Linked DNA regions of Rattus norvegicus. The protein of the gene in region 2 purifies or fractionates together with the protein of the main gene of each other region. This does not show direct contact. Links are inferred from orthologs where the notes say so. Each region holds a gene or a part of one and is shown on either strand. Other genes may lie near its edges. The genes, in order: Ripk2 and Nod1.

What was found.
Region 1: the proteins of Nod1 (region 2) and Ripk2 purify together in Homo sapiens (affinity purification with western blotting; 4 studies listed by BioGRID and IntAct, with this or other methods). This does not show direct contact. The link is inferred for Rattus norvegicus from reciprocal best matches to the Homo sapiens genes NOD1 and RIPK2.

What each region holds. Positions count from the first base shown.
Region 1 is NC_086023.1:34,449,647-34,463,362, forward strand, and holds the start of Ripk2 (receptor-interacting serine/threonine-protein kinase 2), read right to left. Parts: upstream 10,018-13,716; 5' UTR 9,884-10,017; coding exon 9,711-9,883; intron 9,700-9,710; exon of another isoform or gene 9,512-9,699; intron 4,969-9,511; coding exon 4,815-4,968; intron 4,192-4,814; exon of another isoform or gene 4,115-4,191; intron 2,480-4,114; coding exon 2,324-2,479; intron 1-2,323.
Region 2 is NC_086022.1:85,432,112-85,449,165, forward strand, and holds the start of Nod1 (nucleotide-binding oligomerization domain-containing protein 1), read right to left. Parts: upstream 9,564-17,054; 5' UTR 9,455-9,563; intron 1-9,454. UniProt on the Homo sapiens protein: Pattern recognition receptor (PRR) that detects bacterial peptidoglycan fragments and other danger signals and thus participates in both innate and adaptive immune responses.

The DNA.
Region 1 (13,716 bases), on a different chromosome or scaffold from region 2:
GTCATTTAAGAAAGTATCAGTTATTCACACGGATGCTGTGTCCTCTGGGAGCAGGGACTCTCACAAGGACAGCAGGTAACCACAGGTCCTGTAGAAAGGATGAGATACCCCGAGCTAGTCCCTCACTCCCTCTCAGGAAGCCTGGGCTACAAGCTTGACCTTTCTTTCTCTTCCCAAACTACCATTTTACATCAAGAAAAAGGAAGTGTATTCGGTAATTTTTAAAAATTTTTCTCATGACTCCGTTAAAATTTTCTATTGGCCCAACTACTCTATTAAGTAGTGGAGGGATAAGTGTTTCTTTGAACATTTTTAATATTTAAAATCATCAATTGGTATAGGACACTGTGTCCTATACCAATAGGCATATAAGAACAGAGTGAGCTGCACTTAGTACTAAGAACTCAGAAGTTACTCCTTATTTGCGTTCCCCCATTCTATGCAGGGCTACAGTATGCCTTGCCCTTTACACAAAAACAAGTTCAAAACATGAGCTTTCAGTATAAAAGCCTAATAGTAAGAAACATTAGAAGGAAACATAGAGGAAAATAGTCAGTACCTAGAGTTTAAGGGACAGAGCTTACAGGGTACAGCACGAGCATGGTGCACAAGGGAAGAGGATGATAAGCTGGATCAATGTCCAGTTTTTCTTGGCGACAGGCTTTGTTAAAAGGATAAAAATGGGCCCAGGACATGGATCAGTGGTAAAGTACTGCTGGGCAAACATGCCTAATGTCTCAGAACCCATATAAAAAATCCAGGCGTGGCAGGCTACACCTGCAATCCAAGCGGTGGGGAGCTGGAGAATGGAGGATTCTGTCTCTAGCCAACCAGAATAGCCAATGATCGATCTCTCTCTCTCTCTCTCTCTCCCTCTCCCTCTCCCTCTCTCTCTCTCTCTCTCTCACACACACACACACACACACACAGAGAGAGAGAGAGAGAGAGAGAGAGAGAGAGAGAGAGAGAGAGAGAGAGAACAACACAAGCAGTGGAGAAGTATTTGAAAGAAATATCTGAAAATTATCTGATGAATGAAGGACTCATTCAAAATATATATGGGGTTCTTAAAACTGAATGATAAAAATGAAACACTCAGTTAGGAAATGGACTCATGAAAAAGCTTTTCACGGATGGCTATACGGGTGACATGGGAAGCACATCAAAAGATGGTCAAAAATCTCCAATTCCTGTCCAGTTTCTGGTCTGGAAGCTGAGTTCTAATTATGCAGGGAAACTGGGTAAGGGGTACATGAAGCCAGGTTCATTTATAATTTCCTATGACTCTACCCTAATTTTAAAACAGAAAAGAAAACAAAGGTAAAACATTTTTGACAACTGTAACTAAGAAACACAGTGAATTGCTATTTTGTACCAAATCCTGTCTCTAAAGTTTAAGAATAACTGAGCCTTAAGCCAGGGCTGTTGTTGTTGTTGTTGTTGTTGTTGTTGGTGGTGGTGGTGGTGGTGGTGGTGGTGGTGGTGGTGGTGCATACCTTTAATCCCAGCACTAGGAAGGCAGAGGTAAGAGATTCCTGAGTTCCATGCCAAGCCGGGATACCCATGAACCCGTTTCATATAAAGTGCCTGTCAGAGTGGAGGAGCGGGATGGGGATGGTGTGCAGCTGAGAGGCCTCAGAGGGCAGTGAGATCAGTGAGACAGCTCTTTTACAATCTGTGGGAGGTGAGTAGGGACTATGGGGTGAGGGTACATTGTTGGCCAGGGTCTGGGAAATGGGGATGCCCCATTTGTATAAGGAGGAATTCCAGGTCCTGCTAGACATGGTCTTATAAGGCAAGAGGAAGTTTAATTTGGATACAGGGTTTCACGACCTCCTCTGGTGGGGCAAAGGTGAGATGGGGGCTCACAGAGCTAAGTGTGCGGGGACATGCGGCCTACCCTCCATGCTATCCCATAGCTTCCCCAGTCCCACAACAAACAAACAAGAATAACCGAACCACTTCAGGAAAGGGGCTGAAGTATGGAGAGCTGAAACCACCTAAGTGAATGAATCTTGCTGACAAAGAGCCATGAGCATGTATATTAAGGACCCCCAATGCCTCAGACCCATAGGAATGCAAAACCCCTGGTCCCATTGCAAGGTTGGCAGTTTGTGCAAATGCTGGGAACTAGAGCTTCCTCCCCTGGATCTTTGCAGCCTGAGATTGCTTCATTCCCTCACCTACCCAGTCAGGTTTCCCAGCCCCAAGCCACAGGGAGGTGGTATTGAAGACAGAAGTTAAGATACTAGTGAAACGCCTTTTCAGAATTATTAAGAAAAAGACCCAGAGAAATCCACACCCCAGCCCCGCAATTAGTTACCTTAACATGAAATTCATTATCCAACAAGATATTCTGAGTCTTTAAGTCATGATGAAGCAGAGGGGGGTTCATATTGTGCAGGTAATTTACACCAAGAGCAATTTCATGCAGGATGCGGAATCTCAATGGCCATGCAATCTCAGGATATTCAGTTTTCTTTGTACAGTGAAAGAAATAAAATGAAAAGTACTACCTTAATTTAGCAGTTAAAAATTAATAAATCCACGAGGAAACAGATTACAAACTAAGATGAAATGCACACTCAATTTTATAACATAGTATCAATTGATACTGTTTCATATTCTTATATTTTAAGTTTTAGAATTGTTCCTGATAACGACAGCAGTGGTGTTTTTCTTCTTCTATTGGCCATGCCATTGCATGGCATTCCTGTCTTGTTCTTTAGAAGAAACCGCTCTCAGTTATTTGTATGTATATACAGACACATGGTTTTACACTCTCCTGTACCACCGAGTTCCATGGCTTCATCTAATCACTTAGACCCATAAGCACATGCACACAGAGAAAAACATGTATCATTGCTTCTGACATGCTAAGCCATCCATTCAAAATTTTAACTCTTCATATTCATTTAAAACTATAATTGTCACATAATCTCTACATCAATTAAAAATTGTCAGTGTATTACATTTATTTGGAGTGTCAATATGTCATATCAGCAAAACATTTAATTTGTTACTATAGTTTGTGTGTATACATGTGAGGGGGTACATGTGTCAGAGTGTGAGTGTAGAGGTCAGGACGACTTCCTGAAGTGAGTGCTTCCCCTGCACCTTGACAAAGGCTTTGGGCTCAGCCTCAGGTCAAGGTTGTCTTATTGGGTGACAGTGTCTGTGTCCTTCTGAGTCACCCCACTGGAGCTCAGACTTTTTCATAACACAATTTATTGACTTTACCTCTTGAAACATTAACTTTTGGGAATTTTCTTTTTGTGAAATCTAAGACCACTTTTGTTTCTAAACCTATATTCACGTGAGTTTCTTTAAAAATAATTCTTTCTGAATAAATGAAGCTCACTCGGTTTCCCAGGAGAATGTGTACACTCAGAAAAATCAGACACTTTGGAAAAGGTGGTAATGCCAATCAGGCACCATACCCATGGGTTCATTTTTAAAAAAACATTAAGCAAAAGTCACTTTTTTTGGAAGTGCTAAAAATGGCCTTATGATCCTGAAAACAAACTTGCTTAAATTTCAGTTACCAATTGGTAGGGAGATGTTTCAAAACATTTTAGGCTGTTTTTATAGTATATCTCCATTTTTCATTCAATGATCTTTTATGATGTGAGGGATGAGTGCTTCAAGATAAACTCCATGGTGAGTAACTAGTGTATAATTCAGGGTACTAGACTAAGGAACCGAAAGGAATAGGAAATTCCAACGCAGAGTATTACTTCCTTGGGAACGCATACGCTTAGTGCCTAGGAGTAAGCGAATCTTTTGTTGGTCTGTACAAAGGCAACTTTTTCAAAACACTATGAAGTTTAAAGGAGCAACGGGGCCTCTGCACGGCAGTGCCATGTGGGACTTTTCCTCATGCAGTCAAGGGGACAGTGGCAATCTATGCTTTACGGTCACATCTAAGAGTTAGCAATACCCCTAGCGAAGGCTACAGAATTTCCAGTAGGCTCCAAATCTGGGTGCCAGAATATCTACAGGGATGTGGAAAGAAAAGATTAGAATCTCTGCTTAAACTCCAGTTCTCAAACAACCAAAAAGAAGCTGATTGGTGGAATCTTTGTGAGTTGACTGCTGGGGCAGGTACACAAACCTTACAGACTGACACGAGTTACTTTAATCCGTCTTTGTTTCAGATGGTCACAAGTCATGAATAGAATGCGATGTATTCTGAAACAAAGAGGAAGTCACTCCATGAGTGGCTGACAGCGGTGCCCACCTTCCCTCGCCTGCGTAGACAGCACTGTGGCATAGTATAATGCGGGAGAGCCACAGGTGTTCAAGGTAGTATGCAACTTTAATTAGCTCAAATCCTCATAAAATGCAGCATCTGACCTAAAATGATTTCTGAAAGAAAACGCAGACTGGAAAAAAAAAATCAGTGTGTAAGATTAAGCAAAAATAAAAATAGAATATATGCATTTTGAGAATGAGGACTCCCAAGTGTGTTTGTTGATAGGATTCACAAATAAAAGTCAGAGTAACTCATACCTTGGGAAATAAGTCAGTACTGGCTCAAACTGCTATAGATGGAAAAATGTCATGTATCACGTCACTGAAGATAATTTACTTGGTCCACTAACTGCTAATACTTAATTTGGATCCTAAATCATCACTAATATAATATATGACTTAACAGTGAACTATGTAGTATGAATTTCTTCTATTTCCCATGCCTACCTGGTATGATTCATTTATACTTGCAAAGAAATATGGCTGAAGAACAAAAATATTATATTTAGCTTGAGCAGACTGAACAATGGTTAAAGCCACTGAAAACAAGCAGTACTCACTCTGTGTAGAAGCTCATTTAATGATCCGTTTGGCATGTATTCAGTAACTATGCCCAAAAATTCAGGCTCATTGCAAATTCCCAATATTGGAAGAATGTAACTAAATCTTGCTTTATGTAATATTTCGGCTTCTCGTAAGATATCATTTCTTTCACTAAGGGGAAAAGAAGACAATTATTTCAGATAATGAAAAACACCTACAAATACCATGCACACAGATTAATTAAGTTTGGATTTCTCCCACTAATTAGCTACGTAGCTTCAACGTCTGTGTCCCTTAGCTTGACCATATTCAAAATAGAGATGCTATCCACTGTCTGTACTCTACTGGTCTGTTAGAGGGCAGTCAAAATAACTTGCATTAACCACTGGTGGGAAGAGGGCTACGCATGCTGATGACTGTACTTCCCACGAACAGTCAAAGCGCAGCACATGGGTCGTTACTGTGCTTTTTCTAGGAAAGGGAAGGAACAATGTAAGAGGAAGCTCCAAAAATCCACCTATGTTAGAATGACTGATGCTTGAGCTAATTCAATTTTCGAGATTATTTTATACTAAAAGGAACACATTTGATTAGAAGAACATTACATTTTATTGTTATGTGCCATAGGAAAGTTTTCCAAACATGAACTCTAAAACATTCTAACATTGGGGATGTAATAGCTTAGGCCAGTGGTTTTCAACATTCCTAACGCTGTGACCCTTAAATACAGTTCTTCACGTTGTGGTGACCCCCCAACCATAAAATTATCTTTGTTGTTACTTTGTACCTGTAATTTTACTACTGTAGTGAATCATTAATGTACATATCTGTGTTTTCTTAGGTGATCATGAATAAAAGTGATTATCAAATAGTGCTGTGGACACATTTTATCACATACAAAGACAAAATGGCATCTTTGCCTTTAAAGGCCCATAATTCAGATAAGGAAAATAAATAAATAATACAAAGAATAATGTGATAATTACCATATATTTTACATATATAATATACATATATAAATATATATTTATATAACACAGAGAGAGAGGAAAGAGAGAGAGAGAGAAAGAAAGAGAGAGAGAGAGAGAAAGAAAGAGAGAGAGAGAGAGAAAGAAAGAGAGAGAGAGAGAGAGAAAGAAAGAGAGAGAAGCAAACTATGGGGCATTCAGAAGAGAGAGAATTTTGAGCATGGTAAAGTCACCACCAGTCTTCAAATAGGTAGACTTTCAATGGAACCTGAAGTATGGCTAGAATTCAACATCAGAGAGAAGGCACAGGAAGTAAACGGGGCCTCCACCACAAGCAAGACCTTGCTTCTCTTTTGCACACGTGTGTATCCATCCCCAGGACTTACAGCAATGCCTACTATCGAGCAACAGAGTGCATGTCTGACAGCCACGTGTCAAATGAATTGGGGAAGTGAAAGTAAGGCTGTGACTGTGCCAAGAGAGCTAGGTTATGAAAGAGTGTCTGTATGGGAGGGTGGCATAAGTGGCATGCTGGGACCCTAAAATGCCCCGAACCACTTTGTCTCACGTCAGGTGCAATGGAAGGTTTGGAGCGAGAGAAAAGAAATCAGTAAAAGAAGGTATAAAGGTCTTGGTTCAGGAGATGGGATTGAGAGAAAGAGGAACAACTTTGAAGATTGTAACAATAGTTCAGATAGAAAGCAAGGGAGCCTGAACTGATAAAGTAGTAGTGGAAAGACAAGAAAACACTGGCTGAAAAGAATAGTATGAGCCAGGACTGACTGGCTATAAGGGACTTCAATGAGCAGAAGCAATGGGGGAGAGCTGATATTGACACCATCTTCTTATGCCCAGATGCATGGGTGTTGGCAGCGATGACATAAATAGAAATGCTTCCAGGAGAAGCCTATTGGGTAAGTGATGATGATTAGTTGGCTCTTAAGAAACCCGAGCCCTGGACGAATGACTGCTGAAATAAGAATACCAACAGACATTCCTGACCAGACTACTTAAAGCACACGGAGAGACTCAGGGACACACACCCAACCATAGTTAGAGGTTATTAAGTCTTTGAGTAGGCAAAATATATTATGCTTCTAAATTCAAGAGGTGCAAGGCAACATAACCAAGTCCCTATTCTCTGTCCCTGATCTCAGCTGTAAAGAAACCAGTTCTATCAGTCTGTGAAGCTCATCCAATTAAACTTCAATTTCTCAAGTTCTGTGTTTGCCCCAAGAGATATGGGTCAACAAGACAGTTGCTGTGTAGTGCCTTACAGGATGAACCCAAAGATCCCTGGACACTTGAAATGAGAGGGCACAGTGTAGAAGTTCCAGTGACACATACATATAAAATAACCTTTCCTCTTTCTGTCCAAAGTATGAAATAAGGGATTAGGAGACAGCACAGTCGGTAAAGTGATTGTCATACAAGCCGGAGACTCTGAGTTTAATTCCTAATACAGACAAAAAAGCCAACAATAATGAACACTCCAAAACATTAAACACACACACACACACACACACACACACACACACACACACACACACACATACACTCTCACACTAAATGGTGGTCCTGAGGTGGTCTTGAGGAACAACACCTGAGGTTGACCCCTGGCTTATACATCATGCATGTGGAGCAGCACATGCATCCCCTACGTGTATATACACATGCATGTACATATACACAAGAAAAGGTATGATGTATTCGTCCTCCTTGTCAGCCATTTTATATGCACTCTAAACCCTGGGCAACTCTCTAGAGCTGGTTTCATTATCTCCATTTTACATATGGGGCATCTACAGTTAGAAAAACGAATGATCCTTTGGTGACCACAACACAAAGCGACAGGTTTTAAGTCACATTTAAATTGTAGCTCTGGTAAAGTCTGTTTTTCCTAGTCTACTGTTTGATGAGAAAAGCAAATCAGATGGTTTGTGAGGTTAGATTTCAACAAGATTGAGGGGGAAAATAAAAGCAAAAGATTTTTAAAATATAGCTTCAATAATTATATCACTAAAATTACCCAACTCAAAATTTCAATAGGAAACAGCTATCCATCTCTAGGGTACTTGAACAGCCAACAGGAGTCAGCAGTTCACTAAAGCGGGAAGATTGCTATGGAAGTCCCACTCATTGGCTACGGAGAGTGACTCACTAATTGTTAAAATAACATGTAACGTCACATAAACTTATTTTCTTTTCAGGTAATCTTAAAGAACAATGGGTACATTATCCACACCAGAGCACCACAAGTATATGTATAGTGTTTATTATTCATATTTTATAGGTGAGGAAGTAAGATACCCTCAGAGTCAATTGCATAATCCTAGGCCTGTGCTCATGGAAAGATCTTAGACAGCAAGATAAAAGAGTGCAATGCAGTAGGGCAAGGGGGTTTTGTTGGTCTTATAAAGGTATTTTCCTATCTAATTCAACGGAATTATACTATGAAGTGGTTGGCGAATTTGGGAAAGCAACAACTTTTTTCCCATCTTTATCCCTCGGCCTACAAATGACACAAACAAAGCTTAGGTAAATTTAAGCCTTGAAAAGCAGAAACCAAAGTAAGAAAAATCAACTAGCTTTAGTATAGATAGTGGTCTATTAGTGCTACATTTGCATAGACTATTTGCTTGATTCCTAACCAACCTCCCTTTTAATGTTGACTACTGTGTGTTCATGCATGTGCGCGCGCACACACACACACACGCACACACACACACACAGAGCACTGGCTCCATTGACTACTACAATGTGATCTTGCCAATAATGGAAAAAAAGAGCACAGGCAGATGAAAGTCTAACATTTTATCAGGGCTGAAGCAAGAGAATTATTTGATGCTGGAACTGCCCTGATACCCAGCATTAATGGCCTCTGACCAATAGGGCCACTATGATATCTGTATTTCCACACTAGATCCAGGAGAAGAGAACACTGCAACCACCAGTGTTAGCAAGTGCACTAAGGACTGAATGAAGGTCCGGCTCAGTTTCTGATGGAAGAAAAATACGAAGAGTTCTGACTAGACCCATTGACTAACACATACAGTCACAGATCTATGGTATTTAGTTGTAATGTTTTCCTGGAAACAGAAACCAATGCTTTTTTTTTTTTTCTTCTTCTTCTGAATATATGGGAGCTGGATCCAAATAATGCCAGGACAAGGGATGGTCAAATTTGTTTTCAATCTTCACAAGTTTTGACCATTTAATAGCTTTTGATTCATCTTACTGTTACAAAAACAGAGCACACTTCCTTTGGGGACTTCCAAAGCAAGAGCTCGAATAACAACTGGTAATGTAGAATTTGATATCCGAAATTCATGAGTGCACGTAATAAACCACAAACAAAACAAAACCAACCAAAATCCAACCAAACCAAGACATAATACGCAGGCTCAGGAGCAGCACTGCTCAATAAAACTATGGAGTGAAACACACATAAAACCCTAGAAAAATATTTTGACGTTTAATCAATACAAAAACTACACACACACACACACACACACACACACACACACACACACACACACACACACAGGCGCTAAATGTTCAAAATCCGGTGTGTATTTTGCACTCACTGCTTAGTACTTCGTTTCGAAGAGCAGTTGCCAGAGCCCCACAGCTCTTGTGACTAACAGCTAGCTAAAATAGAGCAAAGCCCACAAGCACTGTACCAACACACTTTTAGAGGTGGCCGTGATTGCAGGGTTCTGGAGAGAGAGAGAGAGAAAGAACACCTTGGATGGGAGGAGAGGCAGGGCGGTGGAGAGGCGAGTTGCGAAGTCTGACGCAGGTCCAGGACAATTTCTCTCTTGGGCCAGGATAGCCCAAAAACTTAAGGACTCGCCGCGGCGGAGCCGGCGCATCACCATCAGTGCGGTCAGGATGATAACGCGTCGGCCCGCACTTGCGTGGGGTCCCACGTCCGCGCCCTACCTGTCGAGCAGCGGCGTGTGAATGTGCAGGTGCTTCACTGCCACCCGCACCCGCCAGTCCGCGTGTCTTGCCGACGAGACGGTGCCTGAGGCGCCGCGGCTGAGGTAGTGCAGGTCGGCGAGCTTGTGGTAGGGGATGTGGGGCAGCGCGCTGCAGATGGCGTCCCCGTTCATGGCTCCAGCTGCGCAGCGGCTCCGCCCGACCCTGGCCGCGGCCCGTGCTGCGGTGCGCTAGGTCCCGGGGCGGCCCATTCTCTGCAGTTCCGGCCCGGCCGGCTGTCCCTGGGAGCCCGTCGGGTCTGCGGCCGCGCCGAGGCGGACCTTCCTCCGCCCTCCTCCTGGGTTCCGTGGGTTCCTCCCTCCGCCGGCTTTTCTAGGCCGGGCTCTTACCTTCACCAGCTCCTCAGCCTTCGACTCCTACCCCGACCCCTCCCTCCGCCGGCCCCTCCTCCGCCGGCTCCTCCCTTCTTTAGCTCCTCTCTCCGCGGGCTCCTCCTCCGCCAACTCCTCCTCCGCCAGCTGGTCGGTCCTCTGGCTTCACCTTCCGCCCGCTCCTCCCTCCATTGGCTCCTCCTCTGCAAGCTCCTCTCTTCGCTAGCTTCTCCCTCTGCAGGCTCCACTATCTGCTGGCTCCTCCCTCGACCTGCTCTTCCTCTGTAGACTCCTCCCCCCTTCGGCTCCTCCCCCGCCGGCTCCTCCCCTCGCCGGCTCCTCCCTCTGCCCGCTCCTCCCTCCCTCTGCAGCTCATGAGGTTAACCCAGGCGAGTGTCAGAGGCTTCCCTCCCTCGACAGCCGAGTGGGCACCACTGAGGCCTGGAAAAGTTTTCCTCTGGGGAAAATCCCTCCGCAGTCCTCCAAGCCGGTGTCAGGTGGGTCGGCTGGATTTTCCTTTGGCCTGCGTGTCTTCCTTAGCTTCCAAACCCCAGAAGCGATAGGGTGTGGGGTGACTGGGGAGTCTGGTGACTTCGTTAAGGCCCCACTTCCTGCGCTGTTACTATGTGGTTGCCTTTGCCCCAATCTTTACTCAGTGTCTGACACTTGAGGAGTGAGGTAGAGAGGTCAGCGTTGTCAGTGTGACAAATTGAGGTGTTTAGCTTCTGTGACAAGCTCTCTTACCAGGACACTCTTTCTCCTTTTATTCCCCAAGGCCTATGCACAAATTGAAAAATAGAACCATTTCTTGTGTTTGGGAAGTCTTCTATCCGAGAAGAAAAACAAAGACAAAAACAAAAACAAAAAGCAAAAAACCAAACAACCAAAAGCCATCACTATTTCATCTTTTTACTTTAAACACCTTTCTACTTAAATGACTGTTCAGTACGACGTTTGGGGCAAGTATCTCATATGAGCGATATAGTTCCATGATCCTACACCCACCAGGATGTTGCAATCTGTGATGTGTTCCTTATATTAGTAATGTAATATGTATACAACATCGACATTTCCTTTCCTACACACTAGTTCTTAATAGTTTTTTTTTTTTTACAAGTCTGCATTCTAAGATTATGTTTTCTTGGGCTAGAGTCATGGGTAAGCCATTAAGAGGGCTTTCTGTTCTTCCACAGGACCTGAGGTTTGTTACTAGTACTCGAATCTAGTGGCTCACAGCTGCCTGTTCTCCAGCTCCAGAGAATCTGACCACCTCTTCTGGCTTCTGTAGGCAACGCACATAAATAAAAAATATAAGTTTAAAAATAGGAACTCAATATAATGAGTATATATTCTTAACTAAGAATATATGGGTACATATATGTATGTATGTATGTATATACATACATGGATTTTTGTGAATATATACATTTAATTTTCATAATCACCTAGTTAATGATAGAAAGCTTAAGACATTAATATTGAAATGAATTTACTAGACAAACACTTAAACAAAACAGACAAATTAGCCTCAAAAATAAGTACCACACCTATATGTTGAACTCATTTATTTAAAATCCTACAAAATTATACCTAAATGTTATTGTGAATAAAGTTTATTTGTGTCTTACTACATTAGTTTAGGAAATATCAGCTTTAAGAGATTCACATCTCATTTAGAAATAAGATACAAACATTTTGCAAAATAACACACTTTTTCAAAAAACAGCCCAGTTTCAAGTCAAGTGTAGTAGTATTGGGTTCTACTTAGTTACCATCCAGGGTCATGGATTGAGTTCAGTTTTCCCCAACAATTAAACAATTAAAAGACAGAGGGAAAAAAAATCACAGCAATAGCAAGCAATCAAGTTTTATTAAAAGTATAGTATGTGTGCACACCCATGCACACACATACACACACATATGCACTTGCACACACACATGCACACTCACATGGACATGCACACGCATACATACACATGCACATGTACACATACACACACATGCACACAAGTACACACACACATGCACAAGCACACACAAACATACACTCGACACAGAAGAACAGACTGATCATAAGTAGGGAGGAGATAGATACTGAAATCTGCTTTCCCTTGGAAGATTGGTAGTTCGAGTGTTTTGGTGACATAGGATAGGTTCCTTTCCCCCTCTTTTTGCATTGGTCAGCTTGAAAACAGAGGTGTAAGTCCCTAGTATCTCACTGTGCAAGCTTTGACCTATCCATGCCGTGCCTAGAACATGCCCAGATAAGTCACCCAGAAAGGTCACACTTTCGGGAAAAGCCAGAAGCTTGCTATCTTGTTGATTATCTACACTCTGATTTGCTGTATGCCTACTCTCACTCCTCCAGACTAGCTCCCAGACTGTTGTAATTCCCAGGATTCCCTCCTCCTGGATACTCCCTGTCTCTATATGACAGCAAGTCTCTCCCCTTCTTGATGTGCACACTAGTCTTGAAATTCTCTCTTGATGCTATCTGCTATTCTTGCTTTCCTCACAGATAAATTTTGGACATGCCCAGTCCTCTTCTGTTTCTGTTAGCCCTGGATTCTTGCAGATATCTCTGAATGCCCCTATCCCCCCACCCCATCACAATAAAAACCTTGCTCCCAGATTTTTGTTGGTTTTTTTACTGTGCCCCGATTTACAAAAAACACAAGCGTCCACCACCCCTTCTTATCAAGGACAGTTGACCACCTGTTGTAAGCATTTGCTCCTTTGTTTCCCTTGCTGCAATCAATTGCACCTTCCAGCTTTGAGCCTAAAATATACTCTTCCTTCTGTAGGTTGCTTTTGCAGGGTATTTTATTACAGCAACAGGAAAATTTCCAAGATAGAGCTGATTAAGTTAAAGTCTAGGCCTTAATCAAAGGTGACTGTTGATACAGGAAAAACTAAATCAGAGGTGGTGGCATGTGCCTGAAACCCCATTACTTGGGAGGTTGAAGCGTAGGCTCCTGGGTTTGGAGTCAGTGCGTGGGCCTATGGTACCTAGTATGGACCCCCCATAATAAAGAGTAGATATTTAAATAACAAGATAGCCATGCATAGGGGGATGACAGGTTATAGACACAGGGACAAGGCAACTGCAGTAAATCGAGGAATGACTGAAGTTACCACAGGCTAGGAGAGAGGAATCGCACCAATTATTCCTCAGGGCTGTCAGAAGGAAAATTTCTGTGCATACTGAATCTGTTTTCCTTGTCTAATCTTGCTTTTCTGTCAGTGTGAAACATTGCTTGAGAAAAATCTACCTGAAGGAAGAAGAGTTTATTTTGCCTTGTGGTTTCAGAGCTCCAGTCCTTGGTGGGTAGCTCCACTGCTTTGGGGCCCAATGAGGCAGGACATCACAGCAGGGGTCCTGTGTCATGCAAACCTGTTCACTAGGAAGCATAGAGAAATATGGCAGGACAGGGACACTCTTTGTCCTTCGCAGACAGTGGGCTACCGATACCCGGAGTGGCCTGCTTTCTTCAAGTAGGCCCCTGATTTCTATCAGCCCCTTCAAGTCATGAGCTGATCAATAGATTGCCAACAAATGAAGCAAGCCTCATGACCTCTCGGTAATGCTATCAGCGGGGAAGTAAGCCTTCAGTGCACGGGCTTTTGGAAGGTTG
Region 2 (17,054 bases):
GAGTAGAGAGTACCATCCCACACACCCATTTGATCATGGAAAGTGAGACCCTTGGCTGGATAAAGACTTTTATAGGCCCACTAAAACTGGAACCTAGGGCTCCTGCAGTTAGAGTAGTCCCTTTAACCCCCATCTTTCCAAAGGGACTGAACGAGAGAAGGTCCAGATCCTTTCTCAATCTGTTCCTCCTCTAGACCCATTTCTCCCCACTTGGAATTGATATTTTATCCTTACTGCTTCGGGGGGAGGTAGTAGGTGGTACTTTCCTTTCTTTTATAATTTACTTATCTTCTCACCGATCAAGAGATACTGGCCATGAGGGACATCCGTGTGTCTGCATAGTTCTCAGAACCACTTCAGAAGCAGCACCTATTAAGTTTATCAGTAGACATTGGAAGTTTGCATCTAGGCACTTCCTGCTGCTCTAGGTCCCTCATACATCTTCCACCTTTAAAAAGATAACTGGAGAGTCAGGGATGGCGGCACAGACCTGTAAACCTAGCACTTTTGAGGCAGGAAGATTGCCAGCCTGAGCTAGAAATGAGAGAAAGTAAGACAGAAGGTAGGAAGGAAGAGGGAAAACATAACTAGAGGCCAGATCTCACTTTCCAAAGCATCATAAGTGCAATGACTAGAAACCGATTCACTTGCCGCTTAGTGGCGGTTTGAATATGCTTGGCCCAGGGAGTGGCACTCGGAGGAAGTGCGTCCCTGTGAGGGCGGGCCTTGAGAACTTCTTCCTAGCTGCCTGAGAATGCCAGTCTTCTCCTAGTTGTCTTCAGAATAAGATGTAGAACCCTCAGCTCCTCCTGCATCTGCCTGGATGCTGTCATGCTCCTGCCTTGATGATAATGTACTGAACCTCTGAACCTGCAAGCCAGCCCCAATTAAATGTCCTTTATAAGAGTTGCCTGGTCATGGTATCTCTTCACAGCAATGAAAGCCCAACTAAGACAGTGACCATGCCCTGCCCCTTATTAAGACTGATGCTCAACTGATAAGATACTGTTTCTGTTTAAATCCAGGCTTTGAAAAAGATCCTGCCTGAAGCTCAGCGCTGAGGGGCCAGCGAATAAAACATCCTAATAAGAAGAGCCATAGAGAAGAGCAATACAATGAACGGCTTTAGCCATCCCTAGAATTCCTCAAAGGGGACAAAGAAGTGTTTCCCATGTTCCCATGACTCATTCAGAAAAGGAGCTTGCTGCCAAGCTGATGGCCTGAGTTCAATCCCTGGGTCATACACAGGAGAAGGAGAGAGTTGATTCCCACTAATTATCCTCTTGAAAGGTCCAAAAACCTTGGGGATAAAAATTTCAATTCGCAGGGAAGCATACTAGGCTCCTCAGAAGGATCCATAAACAATGACCCTTTAGTCAATGAAGGCCCTGACTTAGGGAGGTAAGTGTGGAGTGAGCTCCTGGGACAGCTGGCTGGAGGAGATGACAAAGGTCTCTGAAACTCATCAAGGCCTCACCAACCAACAGAGCAGCCAATCAAACTGTACTAATGTCACTGCTTTGGACCTACTAATCATATTAAAGCTTACCTAACCCTTCTGGAAAATTCCCCTAGACCTGCATAAAAGGGGCCTACTCAAGTCACCGCCATTTTGATGAATGGTTGACCCCTATGTGCTGGTAATTTCTGCAGAATAAATGCTCTTGCCTTTGCATACTGTTTGAGGCTGGGGTGGGGTCTTCCTTCAACAATTCTTAGACCCTAACCTTCTGACCTCCACAAATTCCCCCTCTCAAATAAATAAATACTCGTAATTTAAATTTTAATTTGGAGAGGGGGGGGGGGAGAGATGCTATGCACAGGGCAGATCTGTGCCCAGAAAGTGTCTGAGGCTTCTCAGAAGAAAGGCATTTCTTAAGAACAGCATGTATTACTCACCTCAGAAGCCTAAGGTGGAGCTTGGCTGCGAACAAATAAACACACTGCTGACTGCTGGCCAAGGGCGCCATGAAATCTGTCTTGCCCCACCTGAACATAGGTGCACAGTTAGCAGAATCAGGGCCACAAAACTGTCATGGCTTCCAAATGGAGAGGACCAGTGTGCATGGACCCTGGGGGTCAATGAGACATTGAGATGACAGAACCGCCATCCCAAACTGTCCTCTTCAGAGCCTGCACAGCCTGCAGGCCTTGATGAGTGAGCTCCTATCACAGGGAGACCAGTTTAACCAGCCACAGTGCATGCAACGGAGAAGGGCAGGATGGTGCAGCCACCTAGCTGTAGGACAGCAGGCCAAGGTGGGGCTCTCCCCTTCAGTAGAGCATATCTTTGTGACCTAAAAGTGTCAAACCAAAACAATTTTTTTTCTTTGCAAACCCTGGATTCTGGGTCTGTGGCTCAGGAGTGCAGCTCATACTTTACACCTAGGAGATCCTGGGTTCAAACCCCATCACTAAAAACAAAAAGGCAAAACAAAACCAACCAGGTGCCTCCCAACCACATGCAAATTCCCTAGTAGATGAATTTGGATTTTCAAAGATAATAGAGGTGGGGAAAGCACTTCTTTCAGCCAGAGACGGCAGAACTGATGCTTGAAATATTGTCCTAGAGCCATGGGGACCTAGCATTTTGTGCCTGCAACCTCTAACCCCGCCTCGTCCCAACCTCATTTCACTTTGGAAAGTCTTTTGTCCTTGCTTCCAGGAGCTAAGATGGACTAGAATCTGGCGCTCCGGATGAAGGATGTTCAAGTGCCTAGAAGAGTCCACACACACTTATCTGTGTCAGAAACTCCAGAGCAGAGACTCCAGGCGGGGCACCCTTAGCTCTCGGCCCACTTTTCACTGCGTTCTGAGTTTAAGATTCCTTATCCCCAAGTTGAAAACTCTGCCTACATTCAGAGCTCTGTCACTCTCTAACAGAGGTTTGCTCCCTCAACCCCTTTCAAGACTGTTCCCTGCTTTAACCCAGGCCTGCTCCTCCCACCCCCCACCCCTTCCTGCTTTTCTTCAGTACCGGAGTGGAACAGCACAAGGTTTCTAACTTCAGTGTGCAAGAGTTGATATCCTTTAACCATTTGACTCCCAAAAGGTTTGTGTTGGAAACTGATCTTCAAGCTCATCGTTAGTGGCATGTGGAGGTGGGACCTTTGAAAGAGACTGGGTCATGTGGATCCCATCCTCACAATGGACCACAACTAAATGTCCCCAAGAAGCCCACATATTGAAGTTGATAGTCACCAACCTGTGTGTTACTGAGAAATGGTGGAACCTTTAGTAGGTGGAAGGGTGTTATGCCACAGTATCAGGTCACTGAGAGAACTAGTAGGACCTTTAGTAGGTGGAAGGGTGTTATGCCACAGTATCAGATCACCGAGAGAACTAGTAGGACCTCAGTCGACCCTTCTCTCTTTTATGCCAGCCACCATGACTCCAGCACCTTGTCATGATATTTTGCCTCATCACAGGCACAAAGACAACAGGACCAAGCAGTCATGGCTGAAACCTCTGAAGCCATGAACCAAGCCAACCCCTTTTTCCTTTTAAGTTGATTATCTCTGGTATTTCGTCACAGCAATGAAAACTGACTGTTGCAATGGGGTTCTCAAGGGAGTGGACTGGTTATCCAGAGAGCAGGTCTGTTTTAGAAGTAAGTGTTGGCCTTCTCACACGAGGCCTTCCTGTTCTCTTCCTGCTGAGACTTTCCCGTAGTCTTTTGCTTGCAGACTGACAATATGGAACAGTTACAGGAGGACTCTTCAGTAGTCCTCTACTGCATGTTAGAATAAAAGTCTCTGACCTTTCTCAGCCCAGGAGCCTGCTCAGCCTGAGGTAGCTCATTCTCTAGCTCCTCTCATTCTCTTCTGCCTCAGGCCTCACCACAAGGGCCACCACTCACTACTCATACCCACACTAACTACTCATCCTCACCACGTAGCTCCTTCCCACATTGAGCTTCAGGCTTGCTGTTCCCCAGTTCCCAAATGCTCTTCCCCTCCTGTGTACATCCCTAACCCTTTGTTGAAGGACTCCCTAGAGAGAAACCTCCAGGCCTCTAGCTCTAGGAATGTTCTTTCTCAGGAAGAGGTGTCATTTCCCCTTTCAGCAGCACATTTTATAATTATGTATTTTCTTGTGCGTTCACATCCTGCCTATCTAACGACTGAGTGTCCATGTTTCCATTTATGAGTCTAACCTCAGCATGATAGCTTTGGGGAGGACCCTGAGTAATGTTTAGGTTTAAATGATACCATGGGGACTTATAAGAAGTGACAGAGAATGCTATCTTGTTCTCTCTGTCCCACTAGGACACAGGTGCCCACCTGTAAGCAAGTTAGAGAACTTCCATTGTTCCTGACCACACTAGAGACCTAATCTCATACTCCTTGCCTCCAGGGCTAAAAGAAATAAATAGCTGTTGTTTAGAACACACAACCTAAGATAGTTTTCCATACAGGTGACCATCCTAGCTTGTACATGCCATTAGTCCACACACTTTGTTTAGCCCAGACTTCTCTCCACACCGCTCTCTTCCAGGCCTAGCCCCAGACTGCTGGCCTTGCAAGCATGCACTACAGACTCAGTCAAAACAACGTCTGGGACTTATGCTTTCAGTTTGAGTTTTGTAATGCTGGGGCTTGAACCCAGCACCTTGTGAATGCCGGACACACATTCTATCACTGTGTTATTACCACCACCACTCCCTCCAGCTCCCAAGTATTAATACATCCTTGCTCCCAGTGATAGGTGAATTAACATGTTGAAGAACTGAAACTCCACGGAGCAAGGAGGAACCAGGAGGTACAGTTCTACGTCAGTCTTCCAACCAGACTGAGGAGCCAACCAAGTGTTTCACAGCCCTAGAAATACCCACTTCATTCTAAGATATGCTAAAGCACCTACCACTTATTCTTGACATTTACTCTCCTGCCTCCCACCCCCACCCTACCCCACACAGACCTCTAGGAAGGCTGTGAGATCTCAAGAAGAGAAACAAACCATTGGGATGCAGGAGAGGGAGAGATGAGTAAAAAATTCAAAAACTGGGGTGTACTTAGAACGACTTAAACTCTGCCGCTGTCTCACCCAGGTAGGGTTCTGTGCTCCTCACCCACGCACACACCTGCCCACCATAAAGGCATACTTTACTGCATCCAGGGGACATTATTACAAAGCAAACATTATAATCCGCCCTAATAAAATTAGGTCTATAATGGTAACAAGGCTTTTGAGTTTTCTATATTTTTGTTTCACTTCATTTTTCCTTTCAGTTACATCCAAGCAATGGTTGGGGTTTAAGTCATCTGAGGGGCACAAGAGGAAGCCCCCACTTCACTCCTTAAACAGGCAGGAACACCACTCTGAAGGAAACGTGCGCACACCTGCCCTTAATTACAGGTAGGAGGCTGGAGAGGTGGGTCGGGCCAGCAGAGGGCGGGGCTCCGCTGAACATCCAGCGGAGATTAAGAAACCAGGCTTGCTGGGCTGGCTTCAAATCCTGAGTCAAACACTGTGGACTTGGGGTTAGTTCATTAACCTCATGGGACTTCAGCTGTCCCGCCTGGAAGATGGGAGGCGCAACTAAGGGTTACTGGGTGTTGAGAAGACTAAGTGTGTACAGTGTTGGATGCAACAAACCGATAGCTCATCGTGAATTCTTCAGCCCAGTGTGGCACACAGCAAATCTTTGGGGGAGTTCATCTTTACTATCTGCAGTCTGCCACATCTTCATCACTCCGTCTCACCAACCCTAGCATCATGATGAGCTTTGACCCCTATTTTACAGATGCCAGTCCAAGGTCACACACACGAGGAGATGGCAAAACTAGCCCTGGAGCCACAGCACCCATGGTTATTACTGTCACCACAGTAATCACTACTTACTGGAAGCTAGGCAAGGGGGAGAGTGCTTCACAGATTAGCTCATCACTGGCTCAAAACAACCCGTTTGGAAAGGATGTCCTATTTTATGAATGGAGGAGAGACACCACCTTTAGTTAAGGGAGAAAACAGTGGTGTGACCCCCACTCTGAGTGTGAAGCCTGAGGCCTCTTCCACATCCTTCTGCTTTACAGAGATCAGGAGCCGGCACTTGAAGCCTCAGAGAGCAAGCCTGACTGCATGGTTTTAAAATCTCCATTGTAGCAGGCACGATGATGTCTGCTTTCAAACCCAGCATGCTGGAGGCAGAACCAAGAGGATCAGTATGAGTTAGAGGTCAGTCTGGTCTACAGAGAGAGTTCCAGGCCAGTCATGGCTACTAGTAAGACCCTGCCTCAGAAATACAATAACACTAAAATAAAATTTAAAACCGCATTGTTAAACAGAGCCAGGAATATCCTCTCAAGGAGGGATCTGTTGTCCCGTAGTATACAGAGACTACCTATCCGCAAGGGCAAGCCTAGCTTCCTATCTAGTTCCTTCCAGAGAGTTTGCTCCATGGGTCACTGAGAAAAGTTAAGATTGTATTAAGGTGAAGCACAGCACAGAAGTTCTTGGCGACTGCCATTTTTAATCTTCTGGGAATTGGAATGACACCCATAGTCTCCCAAGTAAAATGCCACCTTCTCACAACTGTCTACCAAAGAGGTTTCTTCAGTAATGCGTGACTGTCTTAGCTAGCAGCACACGGCTGCTAAAGCATCCACCGAGTCACTAACTACCACCCTTACTTCTTCCAACCCTAATCTCTGTGGTGGTGACAATACAACAGAACCGCAAGGGACATCTCCATTCTAAACTACATAGCAACATACAGAAATATATGTTGATATGTCTACTATATCTACATATCTATATAGAGATACAGATCTCTATAGAGAGAGTAATCTCTATATATAAATAGCTAGACATAGACATACAGACATAACCATATAGGGATAGACATAGTATAGATATATTCCAGCTACTCAGGAGGTGAAAGTGCTAGGACCCCAAACCTGCGTAATTTAGTGAGACTCTGATTCAAAGTTTTAGACGTAAGAAGAGGGTGATGGCAGAGCCCTTGCCTTGTATCTATAAAGTCTTAGGTTCAGTGTCCAACTCGGTCTCCATCATGTAGAAGTAAGGTACCAAGACCTGGCGCTAATCAGGCGCTCACTGGATTATTCCCTGTGCATTTGTCCTCAGCCATGTCCTTACTCCTTTAAAATACAGCTCTCTGTTGTTTAGAGGGAAATCCCTTGACAGCAAAACAAACTCTAAAGTGAGTTTGACCAGTAGCCTGTTGGTTTTAAGGAAAGATAGTACTTCGCTCCCCTGTTGGCTATAAAGAAGTGAATCTCTTTTAGGGGCTCTGTTCCATCAAAGGCCGGGACAGCGCCCCATCCGTTTGCAGCCCACACCCCATTGGTTGGCAGTAGGACAAATAGGGAGGGTGGTGGCAAGTCTGCTGTGGCTGACTCTGCCCACAGTTTGGTGCCTGCCAATTCTAGATGAAATCCTAGTTTAAGGAAGCATCCAAGCCAGGAAGTCTCGTGCTAGCCAGTATTCCAGCACTGGCTGAATCCATGTGTTAATTGAAAAGACAGCAACTATTCGTCTTATAACAGAGCCAAGTTTAGATGAAACGCCTGCCCTCTCTGAGCCTCCACAGAGACAGTCACAACCTGTAGGTGGCTAAGAGCAGACTGCCACAGGGCATGCAACTAGCTTTCTGCAGAACCTCAAAGACAACAAGACACTGGAAATTTGCAAAACACCTATAGCTCACTGTGGCAGCAGTTCAGAACAAGTACGTATTTGGTTTCCTAACTTCATCTTGCCTAAAACCTTCCAAAGGAGAGGGGTAGAAGAAACTGTCATTCCAATCCTAGGAATCAAATGCCTTTCGTTTCAGCAGCGAACCCTTCTTATTTTTGTTGAAGCAAATATCAATGACCACAAATACTCTTATGGACACTTGATCTCCATGCCTCTGTGGCTTTACAGTTTACATTTTTGAACATCTTATCTAAACAATGCTACAGCCGTTGCTCTGGTAGTGACAGTCCTCCCAACAGAACGGGCAGCTGGGAAACAGTTTCAGCTGGGAGGTAGGTATCAGTAAGGGTAGGATTTGGAATTCTCTTCTACAGATTCCTGACTGTCTTTGATGAAAGAGGCCCCTGGACAAGAGTCAAGAGCAGAACAGGGACGCTGGGTGCAATCTCTCAGGCGACTGCCAGCAAGAAAGCCATGTGTGCTGCATCAACCTTGACTCTCGCTGACAGCCCAGCTGTCTTAAAAATATATTTGGTATAGAATAGCAGGAGAGTGAGGCTTTAAGGAAGACAGTTTCTGGACAAACACACTCCGTCATAGGGGCTAGACCAAATAGATAATTGTCTTCCAGTAACAGAGCCCCTGCTGTGGACCATAGTGTGTGAGATGGACTTTACCTTAGCCTATGTTAAGCTTCTCTTTGTCTAGGCTTTACCAGTAAGAAAAGAGAGGCTCACACGGGTCATTTTTAACATGCAGCCAATCACATCACTCAAGCGACAGATTCAAAGATTGGAACCAGGTTTACTGGGTCTACGTTCTACGAAAACAAAACTCTTGTGGCCTTTGCAAGGGCCCTCCCTCTTCTACCCCTGCCCTGGGTTTTAAGTCTGCCTCTTCTCTGGCCAGCATTACATGAGGATGCATGTCTGTTTGTCAGTGGCTCCAGGATCACAACTGCCACACTGGTCTCTGCTCCCAGATACAACATTGAAACCTCTCCTCTCCGACAGACATCCTGGAAGTGACGCTCCAGGTATTCTCAACCTCTAAAGCAGAAAGGCTGCTTTTGAGTAGGCAATCAGACTCCATTCTATACCTTTGGCTTCACCCGTAAAGGATGGAGGGCGGTTGTCAAGGGTTCTCTGGCTTCCCGAGGCAATTTCGAATACCAGTAACTCAGGCGATCCAGAACCAAAGGTCCTCGGCAATCTATCTATCCATTTTTGTGCTTTTTACAACCTATGAAAACACTGCATACTCTAGGACCTTTTCAGTTTGAAATTCGGGCAACTCTGCCAAACAAGCATTGTCTTGCTTCCTTCTTTTGTATCCCACGAAACTCAAGGGAAGTCCTCCCTTGTCCCCAGGACCACTGGAGGTTCCTGGAAGAGACAGCTTGTTTGCAGGCTGCACTCAGGAAGGTCCAGGTCAGCAGGCACTTTCTTTTGGAGGCTACCCATCGGTCTCAGGCTCCTAATCCTACGTGCACATCGGAATCACCCAGGGAGCTCTGAAGCAATAGTTTATAGAGTTTCCGACAGAACTCTGTCGAATAGTCTGGGCGTCTGGATTTGCTAAGTCCACACTTTATTCTAAGTTGCAGGCAGGCGGTCTGAAAACGCGGGCCTTAGATTCCATTGCTGTCTGAACTAGGGCTGATTCTGAAACTTGGGTGAGGGATGGGGCACGGGGTCTCTCCCCATCGGGTTTCAGCCATAGCTCTTCCACAGATAGCCTTACATTTCCTCAGCTGGTTACAGAGCTGACCGCGCCAAACCCCATGACTTACCAAGTTGGCAGGACTTTGGCTCAGGTGGCCCTGGAGTACGGCGGCTCTCAGCACAGGGATCCTGGACTAGGGTCGCAGATCTGGCGGCACAGCAGCACTGCCGCTCGCGGTTTGGGATCAGGAACTGGCGGGGACTAGGACCGGCCGCGCCCAGGCTCGGGTGGGCTCAGGGGAGGGAACAGGGCGGAGAGGGCGGAGGAGGCGGGGACCGGCCATAAGCGCTGCCCCCTGTCCCATTTCCCTGGCGGGAGCCTCCGCACACTGCACCAGGACGAGCGGCCACTGCGCAGGGGGAGTGGGCAGGCCTCGGAGTTAGCCCAGGGGTGACACCCTGGGAACTCGTCAGGCCAGCTCTGCTCCGGCGCCGAGAGCCAAGGCCCGCCCCCCTGAGAGTGCCACCCAGCGCCTGTAACCACAACCAATGCCAGGACCCGGGCAGAAAGGCTTGTTATACACTAAACAAATTTCAGTTTGATCTACTTCAGAGACAGAGGCTTTCTCCCGGTCTGTGGTTAAGTCTTCTCTTGACCACGAATATTCTAGAGCCTCTTTATTTACTGTAAGGAATTACATGCGAATAAACCTTCTGAATAAATATTTTTAAACATTATTGCCAATTAAACAAAAGTGCTTTCAGATTTGTGGCCACATACAGTCATGGCTATGAAAACTCGCATGAAGTTGACCCTCTGAGAAAAGCAAAACCGAAAGTTTGCAAGCACCTTGGGGCGGTGTGTAATGGTGTTCTTGCGAGAAAGGAGAACCCCCCCCCCCCCTGCAGTGTGCTGCAGTGTGCTGCAGTGCTGTGGCTAAGTGACTGAAAGGAAAGTTTTTCTTCTAAGTCTGATCTGTTTGCAATGCTGGAGACGGATCCAGGGCCAATCGCACTGTGCACCGCCTGCCCACTGCTCATTCTTAGTCTTCTTTTTGCTAACACTATCATCTACATTTTTTGAGACAGCTGTTCCCTTACTTGTTATTTGGGACTTTTTTTTTTTTTTTTTTGGTTCTTTTTTTCGGAGCTGGGGACCGAACCCAGGGCCTTGTGCTTCCTAGGCAAGCGCTCTACCACTGAGCTAAATCCCCAACCCCGGGACTTTTTTTTTAATATTGTGATAACTGTAAATTAATAAAGAACTGGAAGAAATAATGCAGATTCACATTTTTGTCATTCAATTTGGCCCAGTGTTGTAGAGCTACGGCACAAAAACTACGGAAAGCAGAAAACAGACTATTAACCGAGTCAAGATACAGAACAGGTCCACCACGAGCATCCTTTTACAGCATCCTACACCGTACTCAGCCTCTGGAAACCATAAACTTGTTCCCATTTCTAGGAAGTTATCAAGACTTTTAAACAGATGGAATCAGGCTGCACTTAGAGATAACGTTTTGAAAGCCTGTGTTACATTTGTGTGTGTGTTTGCACATGCACCCGCGCGTGTATGCGTGCATGTGTGTGTGTGCATGTGTGTGTGTGTGTGTAAGTGTATGAGTACATACATGTCATGATGCACATGTGGAGGTCACAGAACAATGGCAGGACTTGTTTTTCTCCTTCTACCATGCAGATTTGGGGCCAACTGAACTCCGACTTGGTAGCAGGTACCTCTACCCACTGAGCAGCCTCGCCAGCTCTATTATTTTGCGATTGTTTTGTTTTCATTTTGTATAATCCTAAGAGGACTCACCTAGACCATTGCTTGTATCCATGGTGACTTCCCTTTTATTATTGTCATTGGGCAGTCTTCTGAGGCATGAGTTCCTATAGCACTTTAAAAACACTCTTTACCTTTTGGGGGCTATTTTCACCTTTGTCATCAATTTCTCAAAAGCCTGCTGAGCTGTCTTCTGAAATAGCCAGAACATTTAACATTTCCATTACTGACCAGCCAAGTGACTGCTTCCTAGCGGATCTCCAGCGTCTGGTGCTGTCCCATTTCATATTGGCCATTTGGGTAGTTGTATGGTCCTGGTGAGACATCGTTGTGGTTTTAGCTTGCTGATGATGCTGGACTTCGTGCATGTGCCTACATGCCACCTGTGTCTTCTCTTGAGGAAAACACGTCTCTGTGTCTCTTGTTCATTTCCTAAATGTTGTGTGTTGAGAGTGTCTATGTGTGGCTTGTAAATATTTTTCCCAATTCTTTCTTCCTTTTCTTTTCCTCCTCCTTCTTCTTCTTCCTCTTCTTCCTCTTCTTCTTCTTCTTCTTCTTCTTCTTCTTCTTCTTCTTCTTCTTCTTCTTCTTCTTCTTCTTCTTCCTCTCTCTCTCTCTCTCTCTCTCTCTCTCTCTCTCTCTCTCTCTCTCTGTCTCTGTGACAGGGTTTCAGCTGTCCTAAAACTATTGCCAAAAATGATCGTCTTAGCAGACACCATGACCAAGGTAACTCTTATAAAGACAACATTTAATTGGGGCTGGTTTATAGGTTCAGAGGTTCAGTCCATTATCACCAAGGTGGGAGCATGGCAGCATTCAGGCAGGCCTGGTGCAGGAGGAGCTGAGAGATCTATATCTTCATCTTAAGGCTGTTAGCAGAATACTGACTCCCAGACAGCTAGGATGGGGGTCTTAAGCCCATGCCCACAGTGACACACCTACTCCAAGAAGGCCATACCTCTAATAGTGCCACTCTCTGAGCCAAGCATATACAAACCATCATAATGACTTTGAGCATCTCCTTCCAAGAGCTGGGATTGAAAACAAATGCCACCATGGACAGACACCATGGACCAAGTCCAGGGCATGCCAGGCAAGGACTGTTAGCAACTGAGCTATATGCCTAAGCCCTGTGCCTGCCCTTTCACTTTATGCAGTCCAGTTTACTGGTTTTCCTTTCAATGGGTCATACTTTTGGAGTCAAGTCTGAACTCTGCCAATTCCTAGATTCTAAAAATTGGCAGCTCCCCTGCCCCTAGAGGCACTGCTGGTGTGTCTGCTGTGTGACATAAATGTCAGTGGGTGGCAGAGAAGAGAGACTATGTCTATGCTCAGTGTTCTGATCTATGAACTGAAAGATTACTAGCCTAACACGAGAGCCTGAGAAGACCACCACTCTGGTGCTGCAAAGGCCCAGGTGAGCTCCCAGGTTGAGGAGTGAGCCAAAGACTAGATGGACTCTGCATGGGACCCTGGAACTGTGGGCCCTAGGTGGAAGTGAGCCCCAACTAGACAACCCCCATGTGGAGCCATGTGGGCCAGCCTAGGCAAGGAGCAAGCTCAAGACAATCACCAGTCTGGCACCAAGCAGGCCTGGGGGTGGGGGTGGGGGATTGGGGAAACCATGCCAGAAATGACAATACACAAGCAGGACATAGCACTTCTGAGACCACTCCTGAGACAACCCCAGACACTGAGAGACCCTGGGCACCACCAGAAGAGCAAGCAAGTGGTGGAGAAATGGAGGAGAAAGGGAAGCAGAAGGATGTGAGCACAATGAAGAGAGGCAGAACTGGAGACTCGAGGGTAGTGAGAAAGAGCCTGACGTGAGTAGCCGGGACCTGGGACCATGGTGTGGTCCTGGCCTGTGCTGCCACTGGAGGTCATGTCTGGTCCATGGCTTTGCAGCTGCAGGGTCTGTTACCATCAAAGGCCAGACAGATCTGGCCCCACCACTCGCTTGAGCATAATGGGAGAGCTGTCCCTGGGGGTGTGTGAGACTAGGAGAGTTGTCCCCTCCCCTAGCCAGCTGCAGTACTTAGAAGAGCTTCGTTGTTGTCCGCAACCACCCTGCACATCACCCAAGAAGCACAGTGGGGTTGGCCCTGGACTAGGGAATTGTGAGTGGGTGAGTGAGCCCAGAGGGTGTGAACGTAGGAGAGCTGGCCCATAACTTGTCTGCCACATGGTGACAAGGACCAGGGAGAGAGGCCCTCCCCCACCCTGGCCCCTTGCCTCCTATGACAAGCAGGAGTGTTGGCCCTGGGTTATGAGAGTAGGAGAATTGGCCCAATCCCTCGCCGGCTGCAACACTTAGGAAAGTGGGCCCTGCACCTTGCCTAGGCAGCACATGAGAGCTGGCCCTGATGGTGTGGGTGTGGATGAGCCAGCCAAGAGAGCATGAGAGTGGGAGAGCTGGCTCTGCCCTTACTGATGACAGCTTCAGATGGCCTATCCAAAGCAAGGCAGAGGAGCTCACTCCGGTGGTGTGGGTGCAGAATAACTGGCGGGCAACCAGTTCAGATGCCTCTCAGGCCCAGATTCACAGCTTTGAATTGGCCCTCCCCAATATCTAACTCCATGAAGGAGTTCGTCCCACAGACCCAAAGCTACAGGATCTCCATGACACAGGGCAACAACAAAACAGCCAAGAAGAATCTCAGTGAGGTTCCATTATTGATAGTGTAGCAGAAGTCAGAGGCCTTGAACCAGAGAAGGATTCAACCTAATGAGTCCATTTGAAAGCAAAAAAAGTGTGGACAAAAGAGTTTAAATATGACACACTGTGACACACTATAGCTTCCACAATGAGATTTTATTTTTCTTCTTTGGGGGAAGGTTGCAAGGGTGGAGGGCAGGTATTAGGAGAGAGGGAGGTAAGTGGGATTGGGGTGCATGATGTGAAATTCACAAACAATAAAAAAGTTTAAAAATTGGCAGTTACATCTTTTTTCTAATAGTGTCTGTCTGTCTGTCCGTCTGTCTTCCTGAACAGGGTCTTGTTATGTAGTCCAGACTGGCCTCACACTTGTGGTCCTCCCTAAGTTCTGGGGTTATAGTCTATGCCACCATGACTGGTCAGTTTATAAAGATTTATTTATTATATATAAGTATACCATAGCTACCCTCAGACACACCAGAAGAGGGCATCAGATCCCATTACAGATGGTTGTGAGCCACCATGTGGTTGCTGGGATTTGAACTCAGGACCTCTGGAAGAGCAGTCAGTGCTCTTAACCACTGAGCCATCTCTCCAGCCCCAACTGGTCAGTTTATAACAGTTACTCTTAGAATCTAAAATCCTCCCTTTCCTAATAAAGTGTTCCATTGCTGATTCGGGATCGTTTGCTATAAAGGTTCTCCCATTAAATTACCTTGGCCAAAAGTTAACTTTGGTGTATTCTTGGTTCTTCTCTGGGTTCTCTATTCTCCTCCATCGCTCTATGTACTCATCCTGCTCCATCGCTCTGTGTACTCATCCTGATCCATCGCTCTGTGTACTCATTCTGCTTCATCACTCTGTGTACTTATCCTGCTCCATCGCTCTATGTACTCATCCTGCTCCATCGCTCTGTGTACCCATCCTGCTCCATCACTCTGTATACTCATCCTGCTCAGCTCTGTGTACCCATCCTGCTCCATCGCTCTGTGCTCTGTGTACTCATCCTGCTTCATCACTCTGTGTACTTATCCTGCTCCATCGCTCTATGTATTCATCCTGCTCCATCGTCCTATGTACTCATCCCTTCATCAGCAATTATGAGTGCTCATTTTATTGCCATTTAAAAAAATCCCCTTACCTATTCCACTTTGACAGTTCTATAAAAATGAATCATGTTACAATTTTGACAACAGATTCGCTAAGTCTGTTCTGGGTTTGGGGAACAATTTTACCATGGATCTTCCCCACGAATAATATCTTTGGCTCATTCAACACATGACTGTTACCATTCTCCATCCACCTATCTCTGCCTTGATTTCTTTCCCCAGTATTTTGTAGCTTTCACTACACACCCTGCTCATAGCTTTGTAAGATCTACACTTCACCATTTTCATGTTCTTCATTTCTTTTTTGCTATTATTTTGAGACAGAATCTCATTGTGTGGTCCATGGAGACTTTGAGCACACAATCTTCCCTCTTCCACCTCCCAAGAGCAATGAATATAGGCACACACCACTGTGTGTAGCTAATAATTCTTCCTTTTTTAAAAAAAAATCAGTTGTGTAATTGTGTACATGACTGGTCAGAATTACAATATTCCAGTCCAAGTGGGAAATTGTGGTGGTTATGTAAGTTAAATATATAGAATTACCATATGATCCATCATCCTCCCCCTAGGTATAAATCCAAAATAGTTGAAAAGTAGGATTCAAAAAATGTGTACATAAATGTTTTCGGAAGAAGTATCCGTAGTAGTTGGAAACGAGAACAATCCAAGTGCCCATGATGGGAGGAAGGTTAAACAAGTGTGGCATATGCACATAACTCATGCTAGTCACTACAGTAGATGTGAGGTTTAGGTGTCTACAGGGAGGCTGAAGCTCAGGACATGGCACTGGAGGGACAATAGAAACAGGCACCTGTATGATCCCACTTCCACGAAATATACACGACCATTAAATCCACATACATGGGGAACAGTCTGGAGTTTCACAAGGGCAGGAGAATGGGCAAGACTTTTGTACCTGGTTTCACTTGGGAGGTGACATGTTTTGGAACTGGAGATGGTTATAACACTGTACAAAATGCTAATCATGCTTTTAAATGCTTTTAAAATGGCTATTTCATAAAAATAGAGCAAAAAGCCTGCAAGTGGTATTCTTAGTTGTTGTTAGTGTATGTGTATGAGTGTTTTACCTGCATGTATGTATGTGTACTGTGTGCATATCTGATACCTGTGCAGGCCAGTAGAGAGCCTCCAGGTGGGTACTGGGGACAGACCCCAAGTCCCCTGGAAGAGCAGCTAGTGCTTTTAACTACTTGAACTTTTGCTCACACTATTGCTTTTTTAACTTCTGCTGTGCTGGGACTGAAGTGCAGGGCCGCACACAGCCTGGGCGAGCGAGCTGCCTCCTGAGCCCCAGCTCCAGGTGGTGCAGCCGTTTTACCTCCTCTGCCCATGTGTTCCTCTCCCGTGTACAGGCACATGGTGGGGTTTTTGTATATCACCTTGTATCCCATGGCCCTGTTAGACTTAATTGATTATAGAGCTTTAAAAAACTTTCTGGTATCCTCTATGAGGACAATTTTGTCAACCATGTATAAATGGGGGTGGTTTAGCTTACTGGTTTTTTTTTTTTAATTATTACATTGAGAGAGACAGAGATATTGAGGGAGCAAAAGTAAGGGTGGGGAGCTGTCAGCAAAAAGAAGTCAGAAGACAACCTGAAGGGGTCATATCTCTCCTTCCGCCATGTGAGTCTCGGTCTCAAACACAGGTCTCCAGGCTTGGCAGCACGTGCTTTACCTGCAGCACCTTCTCCCCGCCCACTTTAGTCTTTGGGCTCCTTTCCTCTCTTCTAGTTACAGCGCAGGCTGTAACATCTCACTGTGTTGAACGGGAGAGCATGGATCCTTTTGTTTTAGAGGTAAAACATTTGGTATTTTGAGTGTAATGTTACCGACTGCAATTTTTATAGACTCTGTTAAATTATTAGTCCCCTTTTCTAATTTTTAAAATACTTTAATTGTGAGTGGGTGTGTGGCTGCCTTTTCATTTTCTTTTCTCCCTGAAGTGGTTTGACAGATTTGTAAATACCACACTGTGGAATGACATCTGTGGAATAAACCCCACTTTGTTATGACTCCCAACCCTTAGGTATGGCTGAATTCTATTAACTTTTTCCTTAAGCATTTTTTTTTAAAAACCCATGCTCATCAAGAACACTCACCTGTGGGTTAGTTTTCTTTGTATTGTCAGTTCGGGTACCAAGCTAATGT